2 linked regions of the Xenopus tropicalis genome follow. The protein of the gene in region 1 interacts with the protein of each later gene in a pairwise test. Links are inferred from orthologs where the notes say so. Each region holds a gene or a part of one and is shown on either strand. Other genes may lie near its edges.

What was found.
Region 2: the proteins of gucd1 (region 1) and cth interact in binary tests that used the Homo sapiens proteins (3 or more experiments, as listed by UniProt). The two-hybrid records come from large-scale screens. The link is inferred for Xenopus tropicalis from reciprocal best matches to the Homo sapiens genes GUCD1 and CTH.

The regions. Positions count from the first base shown.
Region 1 is NC_030677.2:152,590,055-152,606,361, forward strand, and holds gucd1 (protein GUCD1), read right to left. Parts: upstream 13,782-16,307; coding exon 13,703-13,781; intron 12,913-13,702; coding exon 12,828-12,912; intron 10,958-12,827; coding exon 10,792-10,957; intron 9,891-10,791; coding exon 9,799-9,890; intron 9,328-9,798; coding exon 9,086-9,327; intron 8,857-9,085; coding exon 8,765-8,856; 3' UTR 7,990-8,764; downstream 1-7,989. Other genes in the region: upb1 (beta-ureidopropionase), read left to right, coding at 2,156-2,250, 2,996-3,157, 4,527-4,696, 4,797-4,878, 4,953-4,995, 5,450-5,604, 6,434-6,517.
Region 2 is NC_030680.2:82,687,007-82,703,981, forward strand, and holds the start of cth (cystathionine gamma-lyase), read right to left. Parts: upstream 8,553-16,975; 5' UTR 8,516-8,552; coding exon 8,369-8,515; intron 5,678-8,368; coding exon 5,596-5,677; intron 5,042-5,595; coding exon 4,946-5,041; intron 4,738-4,945; coding exon 4,628-4,737; intron 3,889-4,627; coding exon 3,757-3,888; intron 2,889-3,756; coding exon 2,831-2,888; intron 2,373-2,830; coding exon 2,295-2,372; intron 1,435-2,294; coding exon 1,282-1,434; intron 1-1,281. UniProt on the Homo sapiens protein: Catalyzes the last step in the trans-sulfuration pathway from L-methionine to L-cysteine in a pyridoxal-5'-phosphate (PLP)-dependent manner, which consists on cleaving the L,L-cystathionine molecule into L-cysteine, ammonia and 2-oxobutanoate.

The sequences.
Region 1 (16,307 bases):
ATTGCCAATCAGAGAAATAGGAGATAGGAATGCATACCACTTACCCCATTGCCAGTCAGAGAAATAGGGGATAGGAATGCATACCACTTACCCCATTGCCAGTCAGAGAAATGGGGGATAGGAATGCATACCATTGTTTCCTTAAACAAAGAGGCTGTTCACGTACTGTTTTTGTGGGGTGGGGGGTGGTTTATGTGTCCTTAAAAAATTACTGTGGTCATCTCTGCAATCATTTTTTAATGTATGACTGAAGTTCCCACTGTCTTCTTAAAAAAGGCATTGTGTGTACTGAGGTCTGCATTTTTTCCAAAGAGTTTTGGAACAATTATTGTTATCGGTGTGCAAATTTGTGTCACTGGTTATGCCACTTGTTTCTATACTGTTCAGTGCGCAGTGTAATTAAAGGTGCAGTTCATAGGACTTATAGTTTACGAATACTACACCCAAATAATGACTTTTTATAATTATATATATATATATATTTTATTTAAAAAAAAAAAAAAAAAGAATTATTGTTGCTTCTCCCCTCAGATGTTTCCCAGTTCTAGCTTAAAGGGGAAGGAAAGTTAAAATCACTGGGGGGATCCAAAATGCTAGGTACCCCCCAATAATTGTAATCGCATAACAGATGGTGCTCCTGCTGTGAGAAAACTGCACCGGCCAGGGTGTAAGCGAGCAGGCATTACTCTTCCTCCTTCGGTCTTTGCACTTGCGCGCTAGAGTGAGAAGCTGAACTCTAACAAAAAGGCTGGCTTTTTCGCTCATCTGCAAATGTGCGGGCCCTGGGATCGCTGCTAAAGGAGAAGGAAGAGGATTACTTGCCTGCATCTACCCATGCCCGGTGCTGTTTTCTCTTAACGGGAGCACCAGCCGGGGATTTCAGGTAAGCAATTACAGTCACTGGGGGGTGCCTAACATTTGGCACCCCCTAGTGATTAAGCCTTTCCTTCTCCTTCCTTTAATAAACCAGATTGCTGAATAAATTGTTACAACTAAAATGAATACATTTATTGCTGGCATTGTTCTGATGCTGCTGAGAAATGTATCAACCAATGTTTTATTTAGCAAAAGTTTGGAAAGTCGCAACATGGCTTATAGAATTTCTACAAGAGGGCAGAAAAACAAATTCATTTGTAAAACCAAGATTTTAGAAAAATGGTAAAAAAAAAAAATAGAACTAAATTGTAAAAAGTCATTATTTGCAGTATAGTACTTAATTATTATAATATCTGTAGTTGAATTGTCCCTTTAATATCTTGACGCAGTAGTCTTTTGCAGTCACACATAGCACACAACATACTCAGCGGCAAAGAAACCTATAGGTGAATATTCTACAGGAATCCAGACGTTCAGCGCTCTGTCAGATAATATGCTTGGTAGGCAGGTAAATGTGTAACGTACAGTTATACTGTAGCAGGTGAAAGAAGTTAACTCAGGGACTGGCCTCTCGTAGCTAGTAAATATGTAATAATATGTGTTACCTGAAGGGCATATATCACTCTTTCTTTTTAGTTTAAATTAACAATACATGTTAATTAGACCAATTTTTATATTTATTTGTCTAAATATGTTAATTGCACAGTGTGTTTACATTGTCACATAGGCCAATGGCACATGTAGTAATATAAGAATATGTATAGCACCACTGAGTAGAACTTGGTTTATCCAGGGATTGAGAGAATAATAAAGGATTCTGGAAAATCCTCAGACATGCTAAAAGTTACATTTGAAGTGAACTTCTTTAAAAAACTGTTAAGGACGATCAAGGCAATATTGACTGCAGACTGCTGTGGCCCAGCAGATTTTTAGGTGATTCTCACTAATGGTTATGAAGGGTAATTTGAGGCTTTTTACCCCACTAAAACACAGTGGGAACATTTCCCCCCTTCCCTCCTTGATTGTGTTGATGTTAATGTATAAAATTCCAAGTTTGTATTGAATGGGTTACTTGCAATCACTGAATATTGTCATTGGTCTTGTTTGTTCTCATTTTCTTCTTTGACCTTGCTCTCGCACTTCCCTCATCTTATATGTGACCCTATCCCTGTACTGTGTGCTTCTCCTGCTCACAATGCACTTTGGTGATCACTATATTTCTTTTGCTCCTTCACCACTCAACCACCCCACTTCATTGATACCTACTGTATTTTTCCAGCCATGCCCTTTGCTTTCTGTACAAGAGAGAAGCTTCCTTGGACAGAGTTTGCTGAATCTGCTGAGGATGGAATGACCACCAAATTTTGCCAGGAGGTAAGTGCTGTTACTGGTCCTACATGAAGTAAATATGGCTTATTCATATTATCTGTATAGGCATTTCCAGGGATTGTACAGGAGCTGAACTTGTAACTTTGTAGGATGCAGAACCTGAGAGATCTTTCTTTGCACAGCATTGGTGTCTGTGCAACAATATCCTACAGGATATCAGTTTAGTGTCACCTCTAAGAGAAACTTGTTCTGGTTTATCTCTCCTTAGCCACATACTGAAATAGTTTGCAGAACTAAAAGCCAGCACTCCTTAACTGCATGTATTGATTTTTTTTTTAAACAAATGAGAATTACCCACCATTAACATCATCCCTTTGTTGAACCAATAATTATATACTCATACACTATTTGAATTGTATACATCTAGTCAAGAAATTCTTTTAGAGCAGGATTTTTTTTCATGCATGCCTTCCATGATTTACATCGCCAATGCCTAGTCCTCAACTATAGAATAACATTAACACCAAAACCACAAATCCTTGAAGATCAGAATGAACTTTTATAAGCACAAGAGTCAAAACTGATCCTTTCTGTAGAACACTGCACTCTGCCCTGAGCTCCCTGAGCATGCTGATTGTTACCAGCAGTGTCATCCTCCAGATAACACATGCTGCCATCCTACCTACTAGACTAGGGGGAACTTCCTGCACAATATATCTATTACTGTAGCATGTCAGGGTGCAATTTTGTCAGAGTATGTAGAGTCTTCTAACCCATATATACTTTGCAGCTCGCCAAGAAGCACAATATGGTCATTGTGTCTCCAATTCTGGAAAGGGACTCAGTGCACGGAGACACACTTTGGAACACAGCTGTGATCATATCAAATACAGGAGCTGTTATGGGGAAGAGCCGAAAGAATCACATTCCAAGGGTGGGAGATTTTAATGAGGTGAGATAAATCAGTAAAACAAATTAGGGTGAAGACACATAGAGCTACTAGTAGCAGCTACTTGTCACAGCTACAAAAATAGACAATGCTGATCATTTACTGATAATTGCCTCTACATTTGTTTTAGCAGAGAAAAATCTCTGTATTGTCTATGGCAGGGTATTTTCTGGCATTTAGTAGCTGTGAGAAAGTAACTCCGTGCATCTTTACCCTTACATACAGTGATCCTGCTTAAAGGAGAAGGAAAGGTTTAACCCAAGTAAGCTTTATTAGAAAGGTCTATGTAAATGCAGCCATAAGCACTCACAGAAAAGCTGCACTGACTTCTCTATCAAAAGTAACATAGGATTTCCTTCTACACATGTTCTTCGGTATCAGACTTCCCCTCTCGGATAATACTTTATGGCACAGCACGAGTCTGAGCAGCTCTCTCCTCCTTCCAATCTCTTTCCCTCTCTGCTGTAATCTAAGCTTGCAGCAGACAGATCTGCAGCACAAAAGTTACTGAAATTAAGCTAAAATGACAGAGGGAGCTTCTAGCGCTGTTAACTTAGGTATGGTAAAGCTTTCTACAGAATAAATATAGTGTTGTAGCTTGCACTATTGTGGCAAATCAATTGGCAACAAAATGCCTTTCCTTCTCCTTTACTTGCAGGAAAGCACAAAGGAAGACATTTTCCATGTTTAACTGGATCACCACAAGTAATGTGTTTTACTTGCAGTGATCCAAAGCTTAGGCAAGGGGAAGGAATTATCAGCAGTTCTCTTGTCCATGGTAGTGTAGATTTAACACGGGAAATATATATCCTTGTTTTCCAGTATTCTTAAAACACAACAAATAAACATAATAAAGGCCAAATGCAAATTGTCTTTATTAGTAGCATAGCAATATCTACTTCAGTGATTTCCAGACAATGTGGCTGAGCCGTACGAGGGGCTTTGAGCAGTGAGGAGGGCCAGACGTTAAGGATTGTTAGGATGACATTTGGGGAGAATGCTTATTAACTTCCCTGGTTATTCTTGTAACTGTGGGGAAATTACTGATTTACCAATGTTTTCCTATATCTGAAACTACCCCTTTGACTTTGGCATAATGTAGTCAGAAGCATTCATAGACTTGTCACATACTTTTCCCCTTTTTTGTTTAAATTTTTTAAACCAGTATGGATGAGTAGGCCAACTTTTGAGCTTTGTTGGATGGCATTTTACAACCTGTAACTGTAGGCCATTAAACCTTTGTTAACTGATCCCACAAGTCAGCAAGTTGAAGACCTGCACTAGCACTTTTATATCTAAATTAAATGGATGAGCCAGTCTGGAACTCTGTTATTTTTGAACATTGTTTAACTTATTTCTGCCTGTGCCCTAGTCCACTTACTACATGGAGGGAAACACAGGACACCGCGTATTTCAGACAGCATTTGGCAAGATTGCAGTGAATATCTGCTATGGCAGGCACCATCCTCTCAATTGGTTCATGTACAGCATGAATGGAGCAGAGATTATTTTCAATCCTTCAGCCACCATTGGAGAGCTTAGGTAAGGGGCGAATCATGAAAGGTTGCACTCCTGATATTCTGTGCTCCCCCTAAGTATTACAGATGTGCTTATTTTTTTCCTTGTGTCTGGTTCCTTACAGTGAGTCCCTGTGGCCTATAGAAGCTAGAAATGCTGCAATCGCCAATCACTGTTTTACTTGTTCCATCAACCGTGTTGGAACAGTAAGTGTCAACCATAGTCAACAGCCCAGTTGATCATTCTATATGCACTTATTTCACTGGGCTTTCTTTTTCAGGAGCATTTTGAAAATGAGTTCACATCTGGAGATGGCAAGAAAGGTAACTATGGGGAAAACACAAACTATTCAGTCATTCTGTAAAGCAATGTCGGGTTTGCCACCAATATTTAAGCAATAAAATTCTTTCTTCCATTCTAATTCTAAATATACTTCCATTTCAATCACTGGTCCCAGCTTCTGTAGTTCTCAGGGACCACTTTTTCATTTTTACCAAAGGTCATAGATCTACGTGAGTAGACTGTTCTACTCAGGTGAGCTTACTATACTCATTATGGTCTTTATCTTTTCTGCCATTGTTATTCTTTAGACACCACTGGATGACTTTACATTGAAGTGAGCAGTCCCAGTGATATGTTGTTTTAGCAGTGAAGACCTTAGCTGGCATTTGATACAGCAGGGGTACCTGCAGGTGTTTATATAGCACTTATGATCCCTGGCATTTGCCGAACTTTTGCAACCAATATACCATTTAACATAGCACTCTTTTTACACAGCACATCATGATTTTGGCCATTTCTATGGCTCTAGCTATGTATCTGCCCCAGATGGGAGTCGGTCTCCTGGGCTCAGCCGAGTAAGAGATGGGCTGCTGGTGGCTGAGATGGATTTAAATCTGTGCCGACAGACTAGTGATAAATGGAACTTCAAGGTATGTTCAGATATTTATGCCTATGTGTTGTGTTTGCATCTTTATGTTATATAATCGTTTAACCTTTGTTCAAACTCTGATAATGTTGGCACACACCTGCTTGTTCAGAAAATAAAAAGGGCCATGTAACATATATAAAAAAAATATAGACAAGCCCCTAAAAATCCTTCACAAGTTAATTGAGGGCTCGGAGTTACTCTTTAATGAAGAGCGGTGGACAATTTTTCACACATTAATACTTTAATATATATTATATATACACAGTATGGTGTTTGTGTCCACTCAAAAATAGGAAGCTTCCTGAAGCACAAGAGCCAAGAAATAACATTTACTGCGTTTAGTCCAATTCTTAAAAATCATCTGATCAGATTGTGAAAAGTCTAGTAGAGAACTCGCACCCAACTGTACCCACGTACCCTTATTCTTTTACCCATTCTGGTACACCCACCTCCGACTTACACGTCATGTAACCCAGAAGTGATGTCAGTTTGCAAGGGCTCACCCTGCTTGATTCAACTTGAGTTCCGGTGTCTAACTTTTTTGCCTGTGAAGCGTTGAACGTTCGCAAATAAATTTCCAAGGGCTCGCCCTGCTTGATTCAACTGCCGGTGCTTAACTTTCTTACCCAGAAGTAATGTCACATGATGGGCCATTTTCAGCAGGATAAAGTAAAATTTCCTTTTCCCATCTCCAAAATGGGCAGCTACTACTGCCCACCTGCAGCTAAAGGGTGTGCTACTAAGATATGGAACACCTATTGTCATATGCCGCTGCCCCATTTCTCTGAAAAAATGAGTATGCAGTGACCTACATATTTATCTGTATGCAGATGACTGGACGCTATGAGATGTATGCTGAAGAGCTGACTAAAGCCACACAGCCAGACTTCAAGCCTAATATTATACGAGAGTAACACACCATATCCTATAAGGGAGAATCTTACTTTGGTGTTATCTGAAGTTGCCTGCTGCCTGTTCTGTTTATGTGAATAAATGGAAGGAAAAGAAGCTGTTAAGAAAGTTTGAACAACTTATTACTGCAATTTCAGTTACAGCATTTGACTTCATTATGCAATAAACAAATGTATATTTACTAATCCTAATGCCTAACCATCGGTGGAGAACTGATTTCGATATCCCCCACATATAAACCAGTGTAATTTGCATGTTCAATGATGATATAAAGCTGATGTCCCAGAGTGGTTTAGTCGGCTGCGATAGATCTCTGCTATCGCAAAATGCCTTTCCACAGGCAACAGTAGGAGTCACCAGTGGAAATCCCTTTGCATCTCTTTGGTGTTTCGAAGTCACGCAAAGTTTCCTCCTGCAGGCAACTTTGGAAAGTAATTATTTTCTGCAGGAGCTGCATGCGTAAATTACCAAAGAATTAACACTGAAGTATTGCTGTCCCACACCCTAAGCTGAAGGAATTTAGAGGAAAACAGAGAACTGTTAAAAGGTAGGCAACAATTGACTGGTTTTGGCAGAAATCAGAAGGCTAGGAGATGTGGAGCATTTCATGTTGGATTGTGCAGAGCGAAGATCACCTCATTGCCTTATTTGAAAAGACAGGAGGCAGAGTTTTAGGATGGCATTGTAATTAAAGCATTGGAAAATAAACCTTGTGCAGAATAGGGTAGTTATTGGAGCAGGGCAGCATACATTTTTTACATAAAAATTAGACAGCCGGAAGAGGAATCCGGCAGTGTTAGGTCACCCGAGCTGAGGTGTTAACCCGCAGGTATCAGCCTGACCCGCACATCAGTAGTTGCCAGGGTCCAGTTTAAGCTAGGAACCAAACAGGAATATGAATAGAGAAGGGGCCTAAATAGAAAAAGTAATAAAAATCAACAATAACCTTATTGACTCAGAGAGCAAGTTTTTTTTTTAGGTGACCCCTATTCAAAAGTTGAAAATAGTCAGAAGAGGAAGGGAAATAATTTAAAAAACTTAGACCAGTTAAAAATTGCCAAGATTGATAGGCCATTTTATAACATACTAAAAAAATTAACCTGAAGGTGAACCACCCCTTTAATCTTATATATGATATCACTGGGCTTCAATGTATATCAGTATTCAGGGTGGTTTGCTTATTGAATACACCGATTAAACTTTTTTTTTTTTTAAAGTGTTTAAATCCAATATAAGCAGTTTTGTGCTCTTAGCAAATTTTTCTTAAGGAATTTAAAAAAAACAAACACGTAAGAGCCCTTACATATTAATAGCAGCAATTGAAGAATTGACCCAGAATAACACTAATATTACACAGTGTAACTTAACAAACCTTATAAAATGTGTTTGTGTCTTGATAATCTCAAAATTATTCTTGGGTTAAAAAAAAATGATTCTGACCACTAAAGTAGACAAACTAAAGTGAAGCATTGCAGTATGTATAAAACCATCTTTATTATAAACTGTACATTAACATTTTGTGGTCTCTTGCATCAGAAAAGTGTTTTCACACCCTATAGTATTGAGTACATCAGACATTAATGGATCAGCCCTATAAATTAAGATTGATAGTGTTATTAGTACCCATACGGACAACACCTTTCCCTGGCATCTAAGTATAAAAATTAAAACCGTACCCACATACACATTTCCTAACCAGGGTCACTGGTTGAGTGTGGAAGTGACCCTATAGCAGCACTGTTCGTACAAGGCTATCGTGCAGCTAGACACAGAGCAAATGTGGTCAATCAGTGCAAGAATGGGCAATTCATTCATCCTTTCTACTGAACCCCGTTCAGTTCTATGGATAGCACTGAATATCTACAGAGGCTTTCAGAGTTGCCCAAGCAAAGTTGGCTACAGTGTAAATGCTGCATGATCAATTCTGTTCCCTTTCTACATTTTTCCCTCCTGAAACTGCTACCTGCTTACCATCCTAATAGTTGAACTGAACCCAACAGACCATTATGAGTGGCCATCCTAGCCATATTTTTGGTTTAAATTAATTCCCAAGTGGCAAGGGATAAATTAATGATGGTCCAATTTTCCACGGACTACTACTACTCCACCACCACAAGAGTGAGCTTTAATTTTAACTTCTAAGCAGAATATATATATAAATATCTTTATATCGCGTTGACTGTGGGTAATGAGGTTCCTGCTGAGTGCTGTACTCGATCCTGAGAAAAAGTTGATGCAGAGTTCAGGGGTCAGCTGTTCACATAAACAAACAGAATATCTTCATCTGTGCCATAGCTGCTGCGCGACTCCTCAAAGTTAGTGATGCTGGTCCGACACAACCCTAAGGGCAAACAATCATCATTTATTTATAGAGTGCCTGTAAGTTACACAGTATTTAATAATTATTTAAAACAAACCAATGTGCAATAATTTAACAAACAAGGGTTACAGAATAGGAAACAGAATCGGAGGTCCAGCTCACAAGAGCTTACTGTAAGTTTAGAAAGCAAAAAAAAAAAAAAATCACACAGGAAGGATGCAATTGTTAGGAACACATGGGTAAGACTTACTGTCGGCATATCCTGGGTTGTTGTAAAATAAACTGCCAGAACTCTTGTTGTAACCACAAAGCACAATAAAATGGCCCTGGTAGTCACTGCTCCTGCAGAAACACTTTTGCCCAATTGGAAGAAAACAGCAGTATTTGACACGTCTGGGGCACAGGTCACACAGTAATAGCACTGCATTCACTAGTACGATGGCCACATGTCCCTGGGAAAGATGCTCCTGTAACTCCTGAATGGTCACTGTGCTGCAAAGTGGAAGGGCCAATATTATACAGGCAAGCTAGAAAACTGAATGATATAGTTTGCATTTGTGCAAGGAAAACAGGGGCAATGAATGCGAACCATTTACAGATATCACCAACATTAATAGCTGAAGCCTGACACTGGGTACCATCCACTGATACAAGATACAGGGGTGAGACCCAAACAATTTGCCCAGTTTTACAAGTAAAAAAACAATGCAAACTAGATACAGTTCTAGAAAGGAACTGATGTCTTAGCTCATGTTACTTGCTAAAAATAACCAGTATCATAACGAACTCCATAGATACAGCCCTACGGTAACTAGTTGTGTTTAAGTAACGATGCAGACTATCTGCAGTATTGCACTTCATTCTATTTTATAGTCACTGCACATGATTTATCGAAGATTTTTGATACCTTTAATTTTTAGATTTTGAATAAATAGATAACGGGTATCAAGGCTGTACATTTACCGTTTTTCCACATTCACTCCACAGGATTTGGCTTGTGCAAACAGCTGGTTCACTCTGTTTTCCTCTGCATCAAAGTGTTTTCTGTAGAATGACTAAGAAAAGAGAGTAGCCAATGAACTAGCATGTCAATCCCTGATGCCATAAATTTAGGAGAAGCCCTCTGGATTCTGAATAAGCTTTCTACAGAAGCAACAATTCTCCTTCATGTTTCCATAAGGCCTAACATGCTTATGACAGTCAACATTCAGGCCTCAGTCATCTGAAATATCACTACCTATAATACAAGTGTCTGAAATAATTTCTGCTTTAGAACTTTTCACATTGCACTGTAACCAGAACTATTGGAAAGCAATGCTATGAAACTTTTGGCTCTATGTAGAGGTTGCAGCAGCTAATCCCGTGGTATAGAAAAACCAGCACTATACACCTCACTCTACTGCCCACTTTACATGTCGACTTGCGTTGTAAATATAATTAACCTTTATGGTAAAAGGGAAATTAAGACAAATGCACTGATTTTAAATCTATATCTAAAATCCATAAAGCAAGGCAGGATTGCTGGATTAATTCTCAATTCTCACGATTTTACAGATATATATATATATATATATATATATATATATATATATATAGGATATAAAGGATAAGACAACCCTAATCTATATAGCAAAACAAAATTGCCATTTTATTCCCAAATCTATGGGAAACTCATATGTGCCTTTAGGTGTTTGCACTGAATATGATCTGTATCCACATCTACAGTGATAATTTCTCCATGAATACATTTTGGATAGTACACAGGTACCTGTATATACAGTATAATTCCTGTCAACAGCTATCCTACAATATATTTAAGTTAGAAAATATTACCTTATTCAATACAACAGCTTTCTAGTCTACATATTAGGTGCCAATAACCCATGCACTGAAAATTACTATACCACTTAGTACCCAACTATTTGTGCCTGTAAGTAACTCAACAGCCACACTAACCTGGTTCTTATAACCTTTATCGACCCCTAAAGTCTGAGTGCAGAACAGGTGCCGGACCCCAAAATGGTGCATAAGATAGGCTAGATCAATTGTCCAGATGCTCTTGGTGAGTTGGAGCTCGTGCATAGCATTCTGAAACTCATTCTCACGCAGAAGGTTCAGATACCTGATTGGAAGTAATAAGGAATTTAGGGCCAAAACATCATGAGTGTCTTAGCCAACACCTGCTTATATGCTTGTTCCATTTAAAGCCGTGGGTGATTTCCCGAGAAACTTAAAGGAACAGTAACACAAAAAAATAACTTTCAACATATCCATTCTAAATATTTTATTAAGATATGTAGCGTTTAAAAAAATGCAATATTCGACAGGGTTTTAAAATAAATCACATTACCAGGGCTTTACTGTGCAGAGCTTGAAAGGCGATACGGCGACTTCCGGTTTAATCCGGAAGTTAAATGCCGCATTCTTCAGAGTCTGTTGTGAGTGATTTATGGGCTGTTAGCAGTTGGGGCATGGAGAGGGAGAGGAGAGGGATCAGAGACTGTACCGTTCCTTCTGTCCAGCTAAGTCTGCATCGCTGTTTGAAGTAGCGCTGCGTGTGCCTGAATTAGGAGAGGGGGGGGGGGGTGGAGGGGGAAGTTGAACGGAAGCATGGTGCGAGACTTGGGAGTAAACGGCAGCCTGTTCTCTATAAATCAATGCTAAAGTAATATTTTTTTTAAAAACCACTGCTGCTATTGAAATTTCTGTATGATATATTTTATAATCAAAGTGTATAGAAGGGATATTTTGAATGTTAAAAAATTGTGTTACAGTTCCTTTAAGAGTCATGGCACACTGGGCATGGGAAATCTCAAAAACACACTGGAATGGGGAATCATAAGAATTGCCACAAGTAAAAAAAATGAATTGTGAGTGCCCCGTGTGCCATCATCCTAATGGGACAGTGAACCCTGAAGACACTATTTGCTAAATATACTGTGTCATGAAAGCAGCAAATGAGTCTGAATAAGAATCTCAATCTTGGAAAGATTTAATGTTCCCTGTTACTTACTACAGAAGGCATCTCTATCTTCACTGCATATTATTAACATGTATTTATAAGGCGCTAACATATAACTACTGCTGCCATGAGGCAAGTTAAAAAAAAAAAGTTAAAGGAACAGTAACACCAAAAAATGAAAGTGTATAAGAGTAACTAAAATATTATGTGCTGCTGCCCTGCACAGGTAAAAGTTGTGTGTTTACTTCAGACAGTCTACTATAATTTATATAAATAAGCTGCTATGTAGCCATGGAGGCAGCCATTCAAAGGAGAAAAGGCACAGGCACATAGCAGATAAAACACTATTGTATTCTACAGAACTTATGTTATCTGCTGTGTAACCTGTGCCTTTTCTCCTTTTATCCAGCTTGAATGGCTGCCCCCGTGGCTACACAGCAGCTTATTATATAAATTATAGTAGCGTTACTGTAGCAAACACACCAGTTTTACCAGTGCAGGGCAACAGTACATTATATTTTTATTACTTTAAAGCTCTTTCATTTTTTGGTGTTACTGTTACTTTAAGAAACACTTCTTGAGCGCCAGCGCCCTACAATATACCGGGGGCAGCAAATAGCCACTACTAATAAGTTAAAGAGCAAGAAATCCTGATTTTTAAATCTGATTCAACTCTATGGCACAGAGCAGTATTGCAATCTCAGCACTAGTGATGCAGCCCCCCCTCAACTAATTGCGGGGAGGGGGGCAGAATTTACCTGACCGCTTCAGGGCATCCCTGAGCCCTGAAATGCCCCCGATTATATAGGGGGTAATAAATGAGTGTATACATTAAAAATACAGATTTACTGATACAATGTTTGATGACGACCCACATGGTCATCCAGGCATTGCTGGGCTACAACTCCTAGCATGCTTATAACATACATGCAGGCGGAATACAGTAACACGTGGGAATCTGAGGTTTGGAAAATGGCATTTGCCACTCATTTTCCTTTTAAAGCTTTCTCCTGAGCCTACAAGTACTTACTGCAGCACCATGCGGGCACACGCCAGGCCACAATCCCAGTGATAGGACTGCTGGATGAGGGGCACCTTCAGCTGAACATGATCACCTGCAATAGGAGTGAGAAGCACTTATAGGTACATAGTGAGAGAGAGTAGCCTGGGGCCTGCGCACCAGCGTATGTAAGGTAAGTGATTGTAACCAGGGTGCAAATAGGGGGACATCACAGGTGGGGCCCAGGAAATATAGAGAATTCGGCTCCAAATATACAGGGAGGGGACAAGAAATACACAGAAACAATAAAACGTGCTTAGAGTAGGGAGAGGGGCAGAAATACTAGTGCCCTGCTACACACAGCAATACTAGTGCCCTGCTACACACGGCAATACTAGTGCCCTGCTACACACGGCAATACTAGTGCCCTGCTACACACGGCAATACTAGTGCCCTGCTACACACGGCAATACTAGTGCCCTGCTACACACGGCAATACTAGTGCCCTGCTACACACGGCAATACTAGTGCCCTGCTACACACGGCAATACTAGTGCCCTGCTACACACGGCAATACTAGTGCCCTGCTACACACAGTAATACAAGTATGTATGCGGCACTGCAGCAGGAAACACAGAGTTGGGGGAAGGCGTGCCGAGCACATAGGGACACACGGACATTACTGCCATACAGAGACATAGCAGGCTGCGGCACAAGGGCACACGGTTACACTAGGAGAGGTTAGCCTGCGGCAAGTATTAAGGGCCGGGAAGGAACAAATTAGCAGAACCCGAAACAGATGATACGGGTCCGAGAAGACAGAACTAGGGTTGGTGTTGCCATTCAGCGGCAGGGAGACAGGGGAAGGAGAGGGCGCTGTATAGGGGCCGGGGGTAGATACGCACTGCTGTCTGTGTCCGAGGTACCGGCCGGTCTTGTCGCAGCTTTGCTACCCTCGGGGTCGGTGTGTCCTGGATTCTTCATAGTGCTCTCACAGTGTCCCAAACACTTGGAGTTTCCCTCATACCTACCCCTCCGGGCCGGGGCTCCCTGTGTGTCCGGGGTGGAGCCGGAAGCTGCACGGAGCCTCCCAGGGTGGGGCAGTATTAGCATTTGGCCTCTTCTACCTGCAGTGCTCTTGTTATGGTGGGACTAAGCTTAGTGCAGGGAAGGCTGTACAGTATGTGAGAAAGTGAAAATGATAATGCCTTTAAATCAGGATGGGAACAGTGATAAAGCAATTATAAAATGAAACATAAATAGGGGCAGACTTTAGCTGCGGGTTCAGTCTGAGCCTGCAGATTAGCTGCCTGAATATAGGTGGCAATATACAGACTGATTTCAGCTGCCTTTAGACCCTTTGGAAGCTTATCTGCCCATGTATAGGCACCTCCGATGGGCCTCCCCGACCGACATATGGCCTGAAATCAACCATTAAGGTCCCCATACACGGGCCGATAGAAGCTGCCGATATCGGTCCCCTGGACCAATTCGGCAGCTAATCAGCCCGTGTATGGGCAGAAACGAGCGGCCTGGCCGACCAATATCTGGCCTGAAATTGGCCAAATATCGATCGGCCAGGTTAGAAAATCCAGTCGGATCGGGGACCGCATCGGCTCGTTGATGCGGTCCCCGAACCCCAGGGCCAAATGATCGGATTATTTTTTTTTAACGCAAATTGCTACCCGATATCGCCCACCCGTATAGTGTATGGGGACCTTTAGTCAGGTTTGATTTTATCGTTGGGTCAGGGATGGCATAGGCTCCTTCATGCAGTCCTCAAACCAATGGCGCCTATGCCTGCCTTTAAATTAGATTGTTTTGGCTCTAGGGCCAAACAATCTAATTTTCCTAATATCACCCGCCCATAGGTGGGCATATCGGGAGAATATCTGTTCGCTTTTTGATCTGGTCAAATGAGCGATCTTACCATGCATGGCCACCTTATGGGTCTTGTCCTACAGCCTATCCAATAGCAATCTGGTGAAATATCAGGCAGATGTTGGGCAGGTTTAAAAATCTCATCTGGAGGAGGACTACATCAGATATTTGATATGGTCCTCTCCTGATGGCCTACACAGGCGCCTATTACAATGATCATTTGGCCCTCACAGATCTGCCTGATGTCAGCCACAACTAGGTGGCCATATTGGTTATAGATCCGCTGGTGACCTTCTCACCCAGATGCCCAATTTCTGGCTGCTAGAAGAACAGGACTAATGCGGATTATTGTGCCAATACCAGAATAAGCCATCTTGTTTTTCTTCAATGTGTTTCCACTGTGGCCTATGGCACTATCTATATATAGCTGCTATGGGTAATGTTGTTGTCCTTTTGTGGGAAAGCCAATGGGCAACTAAACCGTGTATGCCATTACCCTTACCTCAAGATTATGTGATGGTTTTACTAGCGCAGCCTGCAATTTTAGGCTAATGGCACAAACAGCAGTTTCAGGCTGCAGTGACAGGTTAATTCCAGTCCTGTATGTGCACATACATACATTCATGGTAGAATGGGGGGTGAATCTACATTTTACAGCAGTGAGCAGGGGTACATTTTTGTGCACAGATGCCATTTTGTCCATTTTACTTAATGTTGCATGTGCTTTCTGGCAGTTCAGAAACAATGCATTCAGCAGATATATAAACAAAATAAGCCTGATCATTCTGGGCCCATACATATGCCAGCGGTCTGCCAATTCAGTTAATAAAGTCAGAATCAGCACCTATTAAAAGCGCAGACTAAAAGAAACAGTCTGATCAGGTGCGGACTGGAAATGGGGCCTTGGCATTTAATTATACGCGGATACCCAAATAGCCCCCTATCACCCCAATAAATAGTGTCTGTGACATCTTACAGCAGCCCTTCTGGCATTTATCACAATCCACAGATTGCACGTCTGAGTCTAATTGGAGGTTTCAGCTCAAGATATTTAATAATAATTCATAATATATAATATGAAAAGTTGCAGTGCAACTAGCCGCTCTTAAATGGTGTGAATAGATAAATGGGTTGATGAGCGGAACTAAGTCACTCATATCTGTTTCCCACCGGAAGTTGTTTGCTTGTGCAGTCGCCGGGAAAAGGGGGCAGAGAGATACGACAGCCTGTTTCCTTTCGCTGTGCATTGTGGGGCAGGCGGGACGCCATTAGAACGCAGAACAGAGCCACGCTAGTAAGTATTACCCAAAGCAAACAAAAGTTCGGTAAAAAGTCTGCGCTTTGCAGGATTGTCAGAGAGGCCCGGGGGTTGCAGCGTGCGGATATCTGGGCGGGGTGTGCGTCTCGGTTACTCGGCGCTTGTTCGCTTTCCCTTAGGTCTGTGCGGTTGGCAGCTTTGTATGAGTGTGAGCAGGGCTTCCCTCTAAATATTGCCTTATGGTGAGGTTATATACAGGGTGCCGGGCCCAACGCATCTCACTGTGTTACCAGTCCGTTATCCGTTTCTATAAATATTCCTGCCTTAGGCCGGGGGCACTGAAACGTTTGTGTAGGCCTCAGTGCCAGTAT
Region 2 (16,975 bases), on another chromosome or scaffold:
TAAGCAGGTCAACCTAAAACCTGCAGGTTGAGCAGCTTTAGATAATGGAAGTGAGCACGGGGTAGAGGTTTGGGTGGGTCATACTTCAAGCATGACTTCTCCCTTTCAGTGATGTAATAGTGCTCCCCATTCCCTTATAGAGGCTGATACTATTTATATGGGAGTCCTCAGGTGGGATTTGGTCCGAGGGACGGTTATAAAGATTTTGGGCTTGTTTGCGTGGGAGTTCAGAAACAGCAGGTTAGGATTGAAAATTTCTGGCCCCCTCATTACTCAAGAAGTCAGAGAAATTAATAAATGCCTCTTTTTCCAACTTAACGTGTAGAAAAAAAAAATAGATACATCACTGTGTAGATCTGTTGCAAAACAGATGAGATTGAACTGTGCAGGAATGTCAGAGTAGCGTGGCGTTGTCTTATCACTTTAAGGGGTTGTTCACCTTTGTGTTACCTTTTAGTATGATGTAGAGTGTGCAACTATGAGATAATTTGCAATTGGTCTTTATTTATTTTTTTTATTATTGGTAATTTCTCAATTTATTATTATTTTTTTTTGTTCCACAGTTCTTCAGTTTGGGATTTCAGCAGATATCTGGTTGCTAGGGTCCAATTTACCTTAGTAACCAGGTAGTGGTTTGCGAGAGTGACTGATATTAAGGGGCATATTTATTATGCTGTGTAAAAAACGGCGAGAAATTTGCCACACATATCCAGGCTTCGCTGTGTAAAAAACAGAGCAAACTCGGCGTAATTTTTTTACGCATTTTTCTTTCTCTGGAACTTATGTAAAGTAACAGCATAAATCTGGTGTTCGGACGGCGATCTTTTCAGTTCATTTTACACAGCTTTTTACTCGAATTCGTTTTACACAGCTTAAATAAATAAGCCCCTAATTGTAGAGGGGCTGAATAGAAAGATAAGTAATAAAAAGTAACAATAATAAAATTGTTGCCTCGCAGAGCAATAGCTTTTTTTGCTGCTGGACCCCCCATTTAAAAGCTGCAAAGAGGCAGAAAAAGAAAGCAAACAATTCAAAAACTTAAAAAAATAAATAAGGAACACCAATTGAAAAGATGCTTGGAAATGACCACTCTATGACATATTAAAAGTTAACTTAAAGGTGAACTACCCCTTTAAACAGAATTGTTGAGATGATTGTGATTTCATCATTTCATGCAGCAATGCTCATATATACAAACAAAATATTTCCTAAAAAGACATTCACTGTTCTTCAGAGTAGTGTACAACCTTACATCATCTTCTTAGAAATTTAAAAACTTACCTGGGTAAAGAACTTTGTCTACACGAGGATCTGCTTCCAAAAACTTTGCTACAGCTAAAGCATTCTGAAAGTGTTGCTGCATTCGCAGATGAAGGGTCTTCAAACCCCGATTGCAAAGATAACAATCAAAGGGTGATGGAACAGCTCCTATTGCTGGAAAGTAAAATGGTTTGTTAATTGTACTCATTTTTAAAGAAGCACACTGTACACTGTTACTGCAATAAGTCTTGAGTAGTTACAGACTTAGCAGTAGGCAAAATTAAATATCATATGTTGCCAGCATAGATGCGTTCTATTGGTCTCCATATTTACCAAGCTACTATAGGTGCAAAACAGATGGCATTTGCCACTATATTCTCATAATGAATACCACTGATGTTTCTTCCTGCCACCCTCCATTTAGTGTTAAGAATGTCCAAGCTACCTTTGTCTTTTATCTTGACTGATAACCTGACTTCGGGTCGTTCACCTTCCAAACACTTTCAGTTCAGTGTTTTTAGACTGAAAAAGGTCTTTACTTCAGGTGTAATATTTTTTATTCTTGGCAATTATCATTTCTGTAGTGAAGATCTTTAATTTTTCACCTTCTTATGCTTCACTAGAGCAACTCTGGGGTGTCAATGACTAAAATGTTCTAATCGGATATATCAGTTGATACAGTTCTAATCATTGGTCCTACTTAGCATCTCAGAGCTGCACTAAAGGCAGCTGTTATAATTAATACAATAATTGCTAACATTCCACAGATCCTGCTAAGAAATTTTCAATAAAGATTTCAGTGTGGTCGATGAGCAAAAAAATGTAGTTGAAAAAAAAAAAAAAAAAATTATATATATATATAATATATGTTCTATTTATATAGCGCTGCTTATGTATCTAGCACTGTACAGCAGAACAATAAATTGATGTGTAATCAAAATTATGCTTTATGGTAGTTTGTCACTTGATAGTTAAAGAAAATATCCTTTTGAACGGAAATGAGAGCTTGGATTCCTGAGCTGTTTCTCACTTACCATTCTGAAGGAATTTTAGTTTTTCATACAGCTTGTCACAGTTAACAGACACCAACCCCATAACAACATCGCTATGGCCTGAAACAAATAAGCAATACATTCTTTGTATTAATTGAAAAATTCTTCTTTCTAGCCAATATAAAAAGGTTTGCTTCACAGTATTTAGGTGAGCTAAACTACAGTGCACATTAGAAGGCCTCCATGCTGCAGTAACAGCCAAAATTAAGGTATTCCTGGGAAAGGGTGGTTAGGATACCTCCCTTTTAAAAAAACAAAAAAAAACAAAACTAGTTCACAATTAATGACCATGAAATAATTTCACCACAAAATCTAATGTTCCTCTATGTCCATGAAGATTTTCATTCATCCAGGTCATGATATACAGTATCTAGTAGAATTGAGTTTTACTCATTTACTACGAATCCAAATGAACAAACCCTTCCATTAAGAACCCCCAACATATATTTACAAATATTTGCCAAGTTGGCTTAGCACAAGAAAAAGAAAGGCTGAAATGCATATGTATTGTTTCTTACCATTCATGTATTTGGTTGCAGAATACATACAGATGTCTGCACCTAGAGCCAAGGGACGCTAAAAAAAGCAAATATATGCACTTTTATAAAGTCTTGCAAATATTTAAAGGAACTTAAGCAAACATAATATTAGACCAAACAACTACAGCTCTGGAACAATGACTGCAAGGTACTACTGTTGCAAATTTAGGCTTTGCACATAAATGACCTTATGGAGTGCACAGCAATGCAACACTTGTTATAAACTAAAGTAGAAATTATTTATAAACAGATATAGTAAAGACTGACTGCAATTTTATCATATAAAACTTGCAGGTGATTGATAACCTTAAGCCACTGATGCCCCAACAACCTGGGGTTGAAATATGAATAACTTCAAAAAAAAAAAAAAAAAAAAATCAAAAGTGGTTGCTGTGATAGAAAATGTGGCTATGTTCGGTTCATTAAAAGGTATACTGAATTGCTCTATTACCTACAACATATTGTATGTACCTTTTAAATATTTAGGGGCCACATGTGAGGCCCCTAAAACTTAAATGCTGCCCATTATTACAGTTAGCACATAATTATGGCATGAGCCTCTACTAACACACAGTAGACAAGGTGTACATCATATCCAGATATGGTTCGTTAAAATATGACAAAGTCAGAAGAATGTGTATATGAAGGAAGTTGCTTTATAGAATACAGACAGAACTGTGAAATAAGTGTTGCCATTAGATAATTTATGGCTTTGTCAAAACACCTAGCATTAACATGAATAGGTAAGGCTTTATAAATAACAACAACTTTTATTCACTGCATTTCTTAATTCAAAACCTCCTACTTATCATTTAATATAGACAGCCTGCTTTTCACTATAGGATATACATGGTGATACTAAAAAGCAAATATCAAACTAGATGCTATGAAAAGTAGCGTCATACCTGAAAATAGGCAGACAGGAAAGTGTTATCCACTGCTAGAATAATATCTTTATGTTTGTGAATAATATCAGCGCATCCCTTGATATCGATCACGGTTAAAGTTGGATTTGTTGGGGTTTCTATCCATACAAGCTAAAATAAAGGCATTAAAAATAAAAATTAAACAATAACATCATTCTTTTTTAAATTGCTAATACGTATAACAAAATGAAAAACAATTAATAAAGCACATAAGGCTTTAGTGAAACTCTACTTTATATAGCATTGCGCTACTCCCTAAAGCCAGCAGCCCTATGCTATAAAAAGTATTCTGTCAGGATTTTTATGGTGTACTTTTTATTTCTAAATTACACTCTTTACATTGCAAATAATTTACTCTACCTTTTATTCTTGAACCAACAAATGTATTTTTTTTTTAGCTGTAATATTTGTGAGTAGGCAGCCAACTGTGCATTGCGCTGTTATCATATCTATCATTAGGTGGGGTATGGGAATATTTTTAGCAATGCAGGTGTTAGGTAGCTGCTATCTTGCTTCCTTCCCATTGTCCTGCTGATTGGCTGCTGGGAGGGAGTGGAAGGGGGTGATATCACTCCAACTTGTAGCGCAGCAGTAAAGTTCATGAGAGCACAAGTCACTTTTCTAAGTTGCTTTTCTAAAACAACAGATGCAGAGTTCTGCTGAAGCAGCACTATTAAATGATGCATTTTGAAAAAAACTTGTTTTCCTGTGACAGTATCCCAGGCTCAACATGTATAATGGCAAGATTTGTAGGGTTGCCACCTTAACATATTTAAAGCTAACCCTTATATTCTAATAAATAATGTTCTGGCATTTAGATAAATTTAAGGTACCAAACAGGTTATTTTACCTTGGTGTTTGCAGCGATAGCAGCTTCTAAGCTTTTTAGGTCTGAGCAATCAACAAAAGCCACTTTCAATCCCATTTCCGATGCTACTCTTCTAAAATATCTGTTTGTGCCTGTGGTATAAAAACCATAACTATTTATTGCCTTTACTTCATCAATTCTAAGGTGTAATTGTGGTATACACAATACCATATTTTATGCTTATTGGTGATACAGCATTTACACTAAGCCTTACAAATACCATTGGAAGGACAGAATAAAAATTTAAATTGTTTAACATTATATTGATTTAGTATAGGATTATAGGATGATTTAATTTACCTCCATATACATCTTTAGTACAGATGATTTGGTCTCCAGCTTTCAGAAGATGGGCAATATTCATTGTGGCAGCCAGACCAGAAGCATAGGATAAACCTTTGAGCAAAATTCATCAGTTAATAGAGGCAATAGAATCAACATGTTAATGTTAATCAGCAGTTTTCTGGCCAATACCTGCCAGTCACTAGTGATAGTGGCAAATGGATTGCTTTCAGGTAAATGACAAGCTGCATGATTACATTCAAGAACTTCTACACCATCTGAAATATGTCACATGTGCCATGAGTGTCATGCCCCTTAGGGGCATATTTATTATAGCGTGTAAGCCAACACCACCAGTGTGTTGCCCATAGCTACCAGTTAGCAATAACATTTGAACGTTCATCTGCAAATTAGAAAACAAAAGCAAAGATTTGATTGGTTTCTTATGGGCAACAACACCGGTGATGTTGGCTTGCACACTATAATAAATATGCCCCTTAGAGTATTAAAATGAGGCCATGTTTCATCAAGTACTCATTAACATTAAGAAATGCTATAGTATGTTTTTAACCCTCAAAACATTTTGAAAGTAAAGGAATTTGTCTGTAATGTTCAAACAAATAAAAGTTGGTTATGACTGGAGCAATAAATTATTCTAATAAACTTACAGTACTTGGCACCATCAAGAGCAGCAACTGCTTTTTCCAGAGAATTCCTTGTTGGGTTTCCACTGCGACTATATTCATACCCCTGTAATTCAAAAAAAAAAAAAAAAAATTATATATATATATATATATATATATATATATATATTTATTTATTTACATTTGTGTCTCCATTTAGCTTTACCCATATTGTAGGAAAAACAAATTAATAAATCATGTAGATTTGTATGGGCCTAACTAGAATCCCAGCACAAATAAAAGGTATTTTAGAATATTGGCAAGTAGACCTCATCTGTCACCAAAACGCCTCCTATAACCAAAACATTTGCCATCATTTGCTATAGCAAGCAGGAAAAGTCAGTTTTTGAGAGTTTGGCTGCTTTCAGATAAGTGTTGGGTGCAAAGCTGTTAGTGTTCCAATGCACCAGCCCATATGAACTCCAGTAAGCAGATGCCTTTATTTAGGAGTTTTGGGCACAGAGAAGCATCAAGCCTATGTGGCTCTTTATCTAGCTTGATACAGTGCACTCACATAAACTGCTGCAACCTGTACACATTTTACTCCACTCCCTGTTCTTTCTTAAAGGAACAGTAACACTAAAAAATAAAAATGTTTTAAAATAATTAAAATATAATGTGCTGCTGCCCTGCACTGGTAAAAGTTGCGTGTTTGCTTCAGAAAGACTACTATAGTTAATAGAAATAGCTGTTGTGTAGCCATGGGGGCAGCCATTTAAATTGAAAAAAGGAGAAAAGGCACAGGTTACATAAGAAGATAACAGATTACTGTGTAGAATACAATGGGAATCTGCTACTTATCTGTTATCTGCTTAATAACCTGTGCCTTTTCTCCTTTTTTCAATTTAAATGGCTGCCCCCATGGCTACACAGCAGGGTATTTATATAAACTGTAGTAATGTTTATGAAGCAAACACACAACTTTTACCAGTGCAGGGCAATAGTACATAATATATTAGTTATTTTTATACACTTTCATTTTTTGGTGTTACTGTTCCTTTAAGAGGCAATGTGCACTCTGGCCGCCTTTGAAACCCTATATTTCTTTCACATTGCATAATTTATTTTATCATTAACTAAAAATTGATTAGCAATTCTGTGCAAGTGCACTATGATCACTTTTTTTTTTAACTTAAAAACAGAGGTGTATGACGTGCTGGAGTCATATAGCAGAAAAAAAAACTTTGTGCACGCACATCAATTATCAGCGCTGGAAGTGACAACGAGTGGTCTAAAGATGGTGAGCGCAACCTATACAGAGGCACTTCAACTGGGAATTTCTGGAGTAAGCTGCTGAATAAAAAAATAAATAAATAAGCAGTTCAGTTGAGAGAACATAGCTTAGCTTATGGCTGAGGTTTTAAAGGACTACCTCTCCTCTTTTAATTTCTTCTTTGTAACACTAGATGGCGCTTGCAGTGAAAACTTACAGGAGTGAAAATTTTCTGCTAGAAACCTTGTAATACAGCATTGCTGCAAAGGCTTGAGACAACACTGAAAGCAGCACACAATACCTCTTCAGTCCCATCTAAAAATACTCAAGAGAAGGAGGAGAGGTAGTTCAAGACTCTAGATAAGGTTGATTAAATTTGGCTAGTAGTGATGGGTGAAATAATTTGCCAGGCATGGATTTGCAGCAAATTTCTGCGTTTTGCCATTTGCGGATTTTCTTTGCGAAATTGGCGGCAAAAAATTTTAAAAAAAAGTTACAACACAACAAATAATCGTCACACAAAATATTGTTGCGTGTCTAAAAAAAAAAAAAGGAGCGTGCAGCAATTTTTTTTTGACACTTGTCATTTTCACCTTTTGCAAATCTTTACAGAGATTCACAAATTTTGCGCCAAAGCAAAATGGGACAGATTCGCTCATCACTATTGCCTAGTGATTCATTGTCATATAAATGGATAATGATCATCAATCTTGCCATTATTACAATTATAAAGCAGCATGCCCATATTTTAATACACACAAATTAGGATCTTTAAATAACCTATTGTAATAGGGGTTTCAAATGTATCAAAAATAAACTTATTGTAATCTTTTAAATATATTTTCTTATTACAGCAATGGATTATTCTGAAAACTACAAGGATGAAACCCAAGGCAAACTAAACCAAATACAGGTGGCGTCTCATACTTCTTATAATATATAGAAGCAACTTTTTACGGTAAAATCTAGAAAATATTTAAGGAAAATAAATGTATTTCAATCTTCTTTACTACATGCAAATGAAAAAAAACCGACCTCCAAGCTATGTAAATGAAAGGTGAGCTCACAGCGATATAGTTTCATGATAAGTAACATTTCTGCCCCACGGGGGAGCCAGTCAGCATGTAATACACTGTGTCACTCCTCAGAATTACAGTGACTAAGCAAATCCCCAGCTGACCGGCTGCTAGATCATTGCATCACATGCCTTACTGTAGCACCTGGATGGCACGCTGAAGAAAGGGCCATGGCTACTGGGCAGTGGAAGCATCTGGCACTTATTGAAATGCTACTGGGGACGGATCTACGGTTTACATGCTTCCCATAGGCGTATTATAATTACAATTTAAGTTATATATAATATAAAAATATTACTAAGTACATTCTATAGCAATGTACAATGTTGGGAGTGGAGAGAACAGAAATAAAAGAAACTTTTCTCAGGAGCTAGAAAGTGTGAGGCATGTCTAAAATAATGAAACGTCAACTCTATTGGTCATAGCAGCCTAATCTATTAGTTGTCCAGCCGTAACCAGTCGTACCTACCGCATGTTCCCCTGGTCCGAACTGCTTGAATGTGGTGGAGAGGGTTATGGGGGGTACGACTGCCATAGACTTCCATTGTTCGGGTTCCTGTCCCGCGTGTATGGCCTCAGTGGCGAAGTGCTTGAACCCCTCCTGGAAGCCGTCCATTGATCAGCAGTAGCAGCAATAAGTACTCGTGTGAGCGCTTCAGCAGGTTACACACTGGCCACGCAGGGTGAGAGCGTGTGTTGGTTTGTAGCGCTCTATGCCCCGCCCCTTTGTGCGGCCCCCGTTAGTGGCGAATCGCTATTGGCTAGCGCCAGAGGCGTTGTCACTAGAGCAGACGCGTGTGGGAAGGTTGCTAAGTATGGGTAGCGCTGCCAGCCGGAATAATCCGGCCACGCTTTGCCCATTTTTTTGGTTTTCAAACATAGCTATTGTCTGGGGCTCTGCAAATAGATTGCTTTTGTGGAGTTAAGTCAGCCAGCGGCTTGTCCTGCGCCCCCTCTGTTTTGAGAAAGGTATTTATTTTGTAGCCTGAGTATTTGCTATCGACCTATTAGCATATTGCTGAACTGGCATCTTTACATTACATCGCTGCATCCTATGGACCTTATATTAGTGGCTGATATTTGTTTATTCATGAAGGCGAATGTGCAGTACAGGTACACTACCAAACAGGGCTGCCTTAGGCCAACTGGACCTATTTGGTTTGCACCTGCAGGAATAAGCACATAAAGCTGTCCAGCCCTCCCCCAACAATGATTGCCTGCTTCTATGTGTTCTGAGACGTTAAACACAAAGTGGGCAATGCATTCATACTGCTGCTCCAGGGTACACACTGTGTAGAGCAGTGATCCCCAACCAGTGGCTCAGGAGCAACCTGTTGCTCACCAACCCCTTGGATGTTGCTCTCAGTGTCCCCAAACCAGGTAGTTATTTTTGAATTCCTGACTTGGTGGCAAGTTTTGGTTGAATAACAACAAGATTTACTACCAAATAAAGCTACTACCTCCTGTAAGCTGATAGTGTGCATAGAGGCTACCTAATAGTCAATCTTAGCCCTTATTTTGCACCAATGGTCGGAGGAAAGATCAAAATTTCTACATGTATGGCCACCTTTACACTGTATATAGTATGTTTGGTGTGTCAGTGCCCAGTGCTTGGGGGCCACATTGTGCCATGAAATGTTGAGAGCCAATGGAACAAGAGAAAGAGAGGAGATAAGGCAGGGTTACATCATCAGTCACATGGATAGAGCGAGAGATAGGGACTATTTGCCCCCAGCCCTGGAATCCTCTGCCAGCTGGCAACAACTTGTGTAGGGGGCCCCGCCAAAATGGTCCCAATAGGGCCCTGCCGTTTATAAGACTGGCCCTGCTACCATAATGATATTATACCACTCGATATTTGAATTAGGTTGGGGAAAATCTACTACTTTAGTACAGGTATGGGATCTATTATCCAGAATGCTCGGGACCTGGGGTTTTCCGGATAAGGGATCTTTCTGTAATTTGGATCTCCATAACTTAAGTCTGCTAAAAATGATTTAAATATTGAATAAACCCAATAGGCTTGTTTTGCTTCAAACAAGGATTAATTATATCTTAGTTGGGATCAAGTACAAGCGACTGTTTTATTAATACAGGGAAAAATGAAATCATTTTTAAAAATTGGAATTATTTGCTTATAATGGAGTCTATGGGAGATGGCCTTTCCGTAATTCGGAACTTTCTGGATAATGGGTTTCCGGATAAGGGATCCCATACCTGTAGTTAATTTTTCTTTGAATCAAGTGTTCTATGTACTTCTCATTTACCCTTTTTATTTTCTCGTATACTTGTTAACCTTTTTTTGATATGTTTATGACATTGTTTGAGCCTACTGTTAACTATATACCCAATGGCTATTTTCTTTGACAGACTATGCATATTTAACTAGCTGTACAATTTTTTTTATGCTGAACTTATATATTTCAGAAACCCAATAAAATGTATAAAAAAATTGAATTAGGTTCAAATTAGACCACTTCCCTGTTCTGCCTAAAAACACACAATTATGGCTGGATACTCCCTGACCCACCAAGCTTTGTCCTCTTGGCCCCATTCCCTTTCAGGTCCGGGTGCAATATTAATGCTAGTAATGGGACCATTATGAGATATGTAATATGTAAAATTGCTAATTTTTCTGGAAAAAAATATTAATTATTAGTATCATCTCAGCATCAAGTATCATTTCTACCAGCCAGTCCTGTATGTCCCTGGGTTTCATTTTAAAATTCTGGTAACTAGGGCAGTGGTGATTCTGGGGCTGCTGCCGCCAGGGGCAGCAGGCATGGCGGCGCCCCCTGTTTAATTGCAGTAATTTCATTTAAAGCAAATTTCTGATTTTTTATGAGCAATATAATAGAGGTTTGTGTTTGGAACTCACAAAAATAATTTCAAAACATTTTCAAAACACAATATACATGTTTTTTAAGATCAGCATGTATTTTTAAGTTGTAGGCCCCCCCAACTACTAATTTATAAATCAGGTTTTGCTTTGCAGATCATATTGATGCTACATAGTAATAATAATACAATGACATAGAGTGTTTCAAGTCCACAAATACAGTCCTATTCTACCAGCACACTACAATGTTCAGTCCTATCATTAGTGCAAAACATGGCTTTAAATAAAAAGCACGCTTGTTAGGGCTCTTTTAACAGTAGTACATATAGCCTAGAAACATATTTAGTGCAGAACTCGAGGATACTTGAGGATACTGTTTCTAAGGTATGGGTAAAATTTTAGCTAGTTATGCCTCCCTTTCAATGCAGCAAGATAATCGTTACCCGCAATTTATGGTACCTCATTAGTGTTACCAAACAACATGGCAGGAAGCAACTACAACTGGTATTTACCACAGGACAATGTGGGTCCTGAAACAGGTGTCCTATAGACAATATATAATAAATCACTGTCTAGTTTTCTAGTGTCAGGGTAATAGTATTTGATTTGGATGGTTTTATCAAAATCATCCAATTGCTTGCTGTATTTTACAAAGTGGCATTCCATCTGTAGGCCTACCACCACATCTACACTGATTGCCACTTTGGAGAGTGTTGCCAGCATAAAGGCATTTTTTGTATGATCACTTTTTAACTGCCAGGGGCTGAGTGTTTGTTAGAACATATGTTTCTTCAAACTTCAGTTCAATGACTTGAGCAAGCCTTTTTAGATTGAATGTGCCACAGGCTGGGGTGCTGATGGAGTGACAGGGACATCATATTGGATATGCTCCATCTCTTTCCATAAAGGTGTCATATGGGGAAGCTTGCTTATGAATGTGGTGTTAAGCATTAATACATTCACACACATTGTGCAGTGTTGAAAACACCATGAAGATAAGTCTCATGTTGCCAATACATTGTCATGCAAATGTTCTGTGCAAAGGGCCTTAATTGGCCCTTCAATCATATTGGATTTATTATATATTTAAATATTTTTAGCAGACTTAAGGTATGGAGGTCCAAATTAAGGAAAGATCCCTTATCCAGAAAAGCCCAGGTCCCAAGCATTCTGGACAATAGATCCTATACAATGTAATTAGTGGTAAAATACCACTGCACAATAGGCAAAAACAAGTAATCAACAAGAACACAAAACCAAACAAGGTAGTAAAATACAACTGAAACACCCAAATCAATAAAGTAACCACACAGTGAGACCAGTGAGAAAATATCTGACACATTTAGTCTCACAATGCAATTATAATTTTACAGACACAAACAACAGCATTCCATAATCAATAACTATAAACAATGTTAATTTATAGGAACAAATTAATGATACACTCTATGCAATCACAAAAAATGCTTATACATTTCAAAAATGTTTCCTTAAAACAAAACTGCTTTACTAAACATTATATATATTAATTAAATAGGCATGTATGTTTTATCCAGTTTGGGGTATATAAGTATATCAGGCTAATGGATTGGCTCTCAAAGTCCCTTTTGGCTTCCAGTATTAGATCAGTGAACCCCTTATTAACAAAGTTGTAGGTTATATGAAAGCAACCCTATAACAGCCAGAGTTCCAAAAGTACCTGAATTTTGGTCATTCACTTTACATATGCAGTGATTTAAAAACATGGGACACAGTTCCCATTAAATAGGCCACAGCAGCAGCTTAGAGGCTGCTTAAATGTCTGCCATTTATTAAAAATGTGAACTGAAAAGCACGTACAGGAAAAAGTCACAAAAACTGGAGTTTTTTCGGCTTGTCACTGTCTTTTCCGAAATGTCAAACAAAAGCCAGCATCAAAAATCCGAAAAACTCTAACAATTTGAAGCAAAGAAAGATCTTCCAGGAAAGGGACATCTGCCATTAACTTCTACATGATCTCGACAAGTTTTGGATGGAGTATTTTCGGAATCGAAATTGTTGCAGTTTTGTCACGACTTTTGTGACATTTTTTCGTCAACTTTTAGAGAAAAAAAATCTGATTCAAGAGAAAAAAATCTGACCACTGGTAAATGCCCCCATAGTCCCCACTATGGCTCTGCCCAAAATAGATGCTACTGAAATTAAACTTTGGCAAATTTCCAATAAATTGTTAATTGTAATTGCAAGTATATACCAAAGGTATATATGGAAATTCTAATGCACAACAACAACAAACACAAAAATGTTACTGTTGCATTAGTGTGCACACACAAAGAAGTCTACAATTCAGTAGATGTGTTAGAAATTTTAAATGTATTTATTACCTTTTGAGTTTTTAGTAAAACGTTAACAATAACAAATGTGATTATATATTAAACCAAGTAACTGAGTTATAATCAAACTAAACTTCTGCAAATTTCCAGTAAATTGTTAATTGTAATTGCAAGTATATACAGTACCAAAGGTATATGGAAATTCTAATGCACAACAACACGAAAATGTTACTGTTGCATTAGTGTGTACACACAACAGAAGTCTTTTTTTAGTAAAAAGTTAACAATAACATGTGATTATATATTAAACCAAGTTGGAATCAAAGGGCATAGTAACTTGGAATAGTTAGTTACAAACATGAACAGGACTACAACATGATAGACCTTGTGCATTTTTGTCCTATATAGACTAAATTCAGTATGAATTTGGTATATATACTAAGGCAATAGTCTAGCAAAAGGAAGGAGGAACACAAAAGTTTGGTCTATCAAAGAGCTCTGTTTCAGAAAATGTTTGCTGAGGTGTGCAGCCACTGTGTGGAAGGAGCAACACTCTATAGCAGTAAAGGTTTTTAAGTTTGATCGTACCACCCAAATGGAAGATGGGTCACAAAATTTTTGTCACGCCTGTTTTACAGCCACCCCCCCCCCCTAAATTCCATACCCAGTTAACAAAATCACCCCCTTTTTTACATGGTTGGAATGGCAGTATTAAAAAAAATCACTAGGTGCACCAGCACTTTATATCAGGCCTGCTGTGACCTCCACATTTCATGACATATTGTGGCTCCAGCATTTCATGGTACAGTCTGGTCCTCAAGCATTTCATGGCATACTGTGGCTCCCAAGTATTCTATAATACACAACAGTGACACCCCTGCCCAAAACCCTACAGAAATCTTAGCAAAAGCTCTCCCCAGGCCATTTGTCTCTAAGCAGCTGTAAAAGTGCTTTATATAATGTGCCTCATTTTCAAAGACTAGTGACAAGCTCTTGGAGGGGGCTGGTAGAACAGAGGGACATTTAAGAGGCAAATTGTGAAGGTTATGGGCTGAAAATTGGAACTGTTGGGGGTATTACTTTAGTCTCCATGCGTTCTCCAGTTTTTACTACATGACATGTTTCCAGCGTTTTCTACTAAAGAGGCATAATAACTTACAATAATTAGAGATTATGTTTTCCTAAAATTCTGGGTTAGTCTTCTTATAATGTTGAAGTCTGATGACCCTGACTACAGAGAGTGAAGGTTTTTATCAGTGGTATAACAATAAGTTGCTGGGCCCCACTGCAAGAAAATACTCTGGGGGGCCCGGTGTGCCTGTAAATTCACCCCTCCTGCTTTTGCCCACTCACAAACCCTGCTCCGTGCCACCCGTGACCAGGTAAGAGAGGAGGAGGATTTTCCTAACTAGAGGAAGCAGACACTGCGGTCTGGATCTCCCTTTGACCGTGGCAACTGCTTCTCTATATTTACACCACTGGTTTTTATTGCTTGTCAGTTTAACATATGGCAAGCAGCACTAATGCACTGATAACAATTTGCCCACATAAGTTGTTCTGACTGATTTGTCAGGAGTCATTTAGTAGTCCAAAATCATTAAAATGTCTCAAAGAAGAATTTGTTTTAGTGCTGTACAAGTGTACTCAACCTCCATTTTAATGAAATTAAGTAAGGCATTTATGAATATGTTGTTCTTTTAATGACAAAATAACTCCAATAATATTTTTAACTCCAAAGCAGTGAGTTACCCAAGTGGGTTATGCAAGTCACAAGACCGCATATGCTCTGAGGTTTGCAACAAGGCAGGCAATTTAAGGCCTAAGGCCATTTAGTTTTGCTATAAGTGCTACATGCAGATACTAAACACATACTAAAATAGTTCAGGGGTATCATTTACTATTACATTTAACTGCAATTTTAGTTGGTAGCCTTTTTTTCTTGCATGAAGATTTATTAGTGCATGGCCTTAAATTAATTATAACAATAAGCTAGGAAAATGTAAACAGGATATGTGGTCCTAAAGCCAAACCAAAGAGGGAATCCTGGACTGTTTCCCACTCAGCAGAAAGATATGAATTAAGCTGTCCTTTTGTCAGGGAAATAAAGAAATTCTGGGAAGAGTGGTGCCGACATGAGGAGGGGGGTGAGGTGATGGACTTTGCAGTGAATTCCAGTGAGTAATATCCATTTAAATTCCTAGCTGGGGCTGCAGTCCACCACCAAAGAAGATAGGTTCAAACTGCATTTCATAACATGCCATAAAAGTTATCTTATTGTAAACGTGTAACACAGATAATAATAATTAACTTAAACTGGAGCTATGATTTATTTACTAAAATATATTCTGTGCTCCTGTATCTAAAGATGAACCTATCATTCAATAACATCAAACAGGCATCTGCAAAAATATAATGACAACTAGGAATGTACAAACATGGGTGCATGTTACCTGGTTTTTACCATCAATACACTGCTTTTCTCAAAACTTCTGTGTCTTTGAATGTGCTGCTACATTTTGCACAACAGCTAAACACAAACTATCCAGCAAACAACAAAATGTGTATGCCTTTAATTTGCATGCTTGCCAAGAGACTTGATGAAAATCCTAGGTAAGCTCAAAATGTTTTGCATTTAAACAGTTATACAATGTCTGGATTTTCCTTTACTATTATTGATTTTTAAGCAGGTGGTGGTATTCCAGAATAAGTACCTGGTTCCACTAATGGACTTCTATTTTACAAAGGGTGGAGTTCTCCTCTTTTTTTCTGCCAGGGGCAATGAGTCACAGAATTAAAAAAATGTTTGGTGCTTGGTAAAACAGGATCTTAGATTCCTCCTATATAATTATATTTTGCAGCATTATGATGAATCACTTTGTAACTCATGTACATCAGCTCTTGGCTCAGAGGCTAACTCGTTAACATTGGAGTGTTAATCACTGCTCCTCTTTAGAAAAAAATGCACCAGCCTTTTAATGTTCCTACCTAAGCATCACACCACACTCTTACTTACCTGGATTCCCAGTAATCCACTGTATCTAGCTAGAACTGGAAATGCACAAGAAAGTGAATGTCACAATACTGCATATTTGCATGTCTAGCTAGATACAGAGGATCACTGGGAACCCCAGCAAGATTGCAGATCAGAGCTAGGGAATGAACAAGCATGGCCTGGTAAATGTTTTTCCAAAAAGCAATGGGAAAAAAGCTTTATGATTTAATTCACTGTGGGTGATTAACATTTTGGTTCCCCTTAGTGAATTAAGCTTTCCTTGTCCATTAAGTTTCCCAAATAAATCATCATCCTACACTGAAAAATGTCAGTAAGACAAAAAATAGGAAGGTAGTAAGAAAATGTTTGAATGTATTGTTCTAGAGTCTGATTTGTTCTTTCGGTTTCTCCATTGGTTTGTGGATGATATGCAAATGATTTAGCCAGGGAGATACCAAGGGACTTACACAGAGTAGACCAAACTTTTGAAGTAAATGGAGCCCCACGATCAGAGACAATCTCTTTGGGTAACCCATGAAGCCTTACAATCTCTTTTATAAAGAGAGAGAGTCAATCCGAGAGGTGTCTTAATCCGAGGCAGAAAAATAGGCGTAATTGTTTAATAAGCAAAAGTAGAGGCAGGCAGAGTTCATGCAAATCCAGTGTCAGGCCAAGGGCCAGTAATCCAGAAATCGGCAAGGTCCCAATTCAGGCAGAAAAATACAGAGTTAGCAAGAAAGTAGCAGTGAAGCTAGGCCTGTAACCAAGCACTGAGTGATTCCCACAGTGGGTTTAAAAAAGCCTACGTTTGGCTCCAAAAAGCAGTGTCAGTGTGCATTCCGACGCAGATTGTGAGCACACACCGGCATCCGTCTTGATGCGCATTTGCGCACGGACCGCCGTGCCCAAGCCCGCAGAGACCCTCCATGTGCA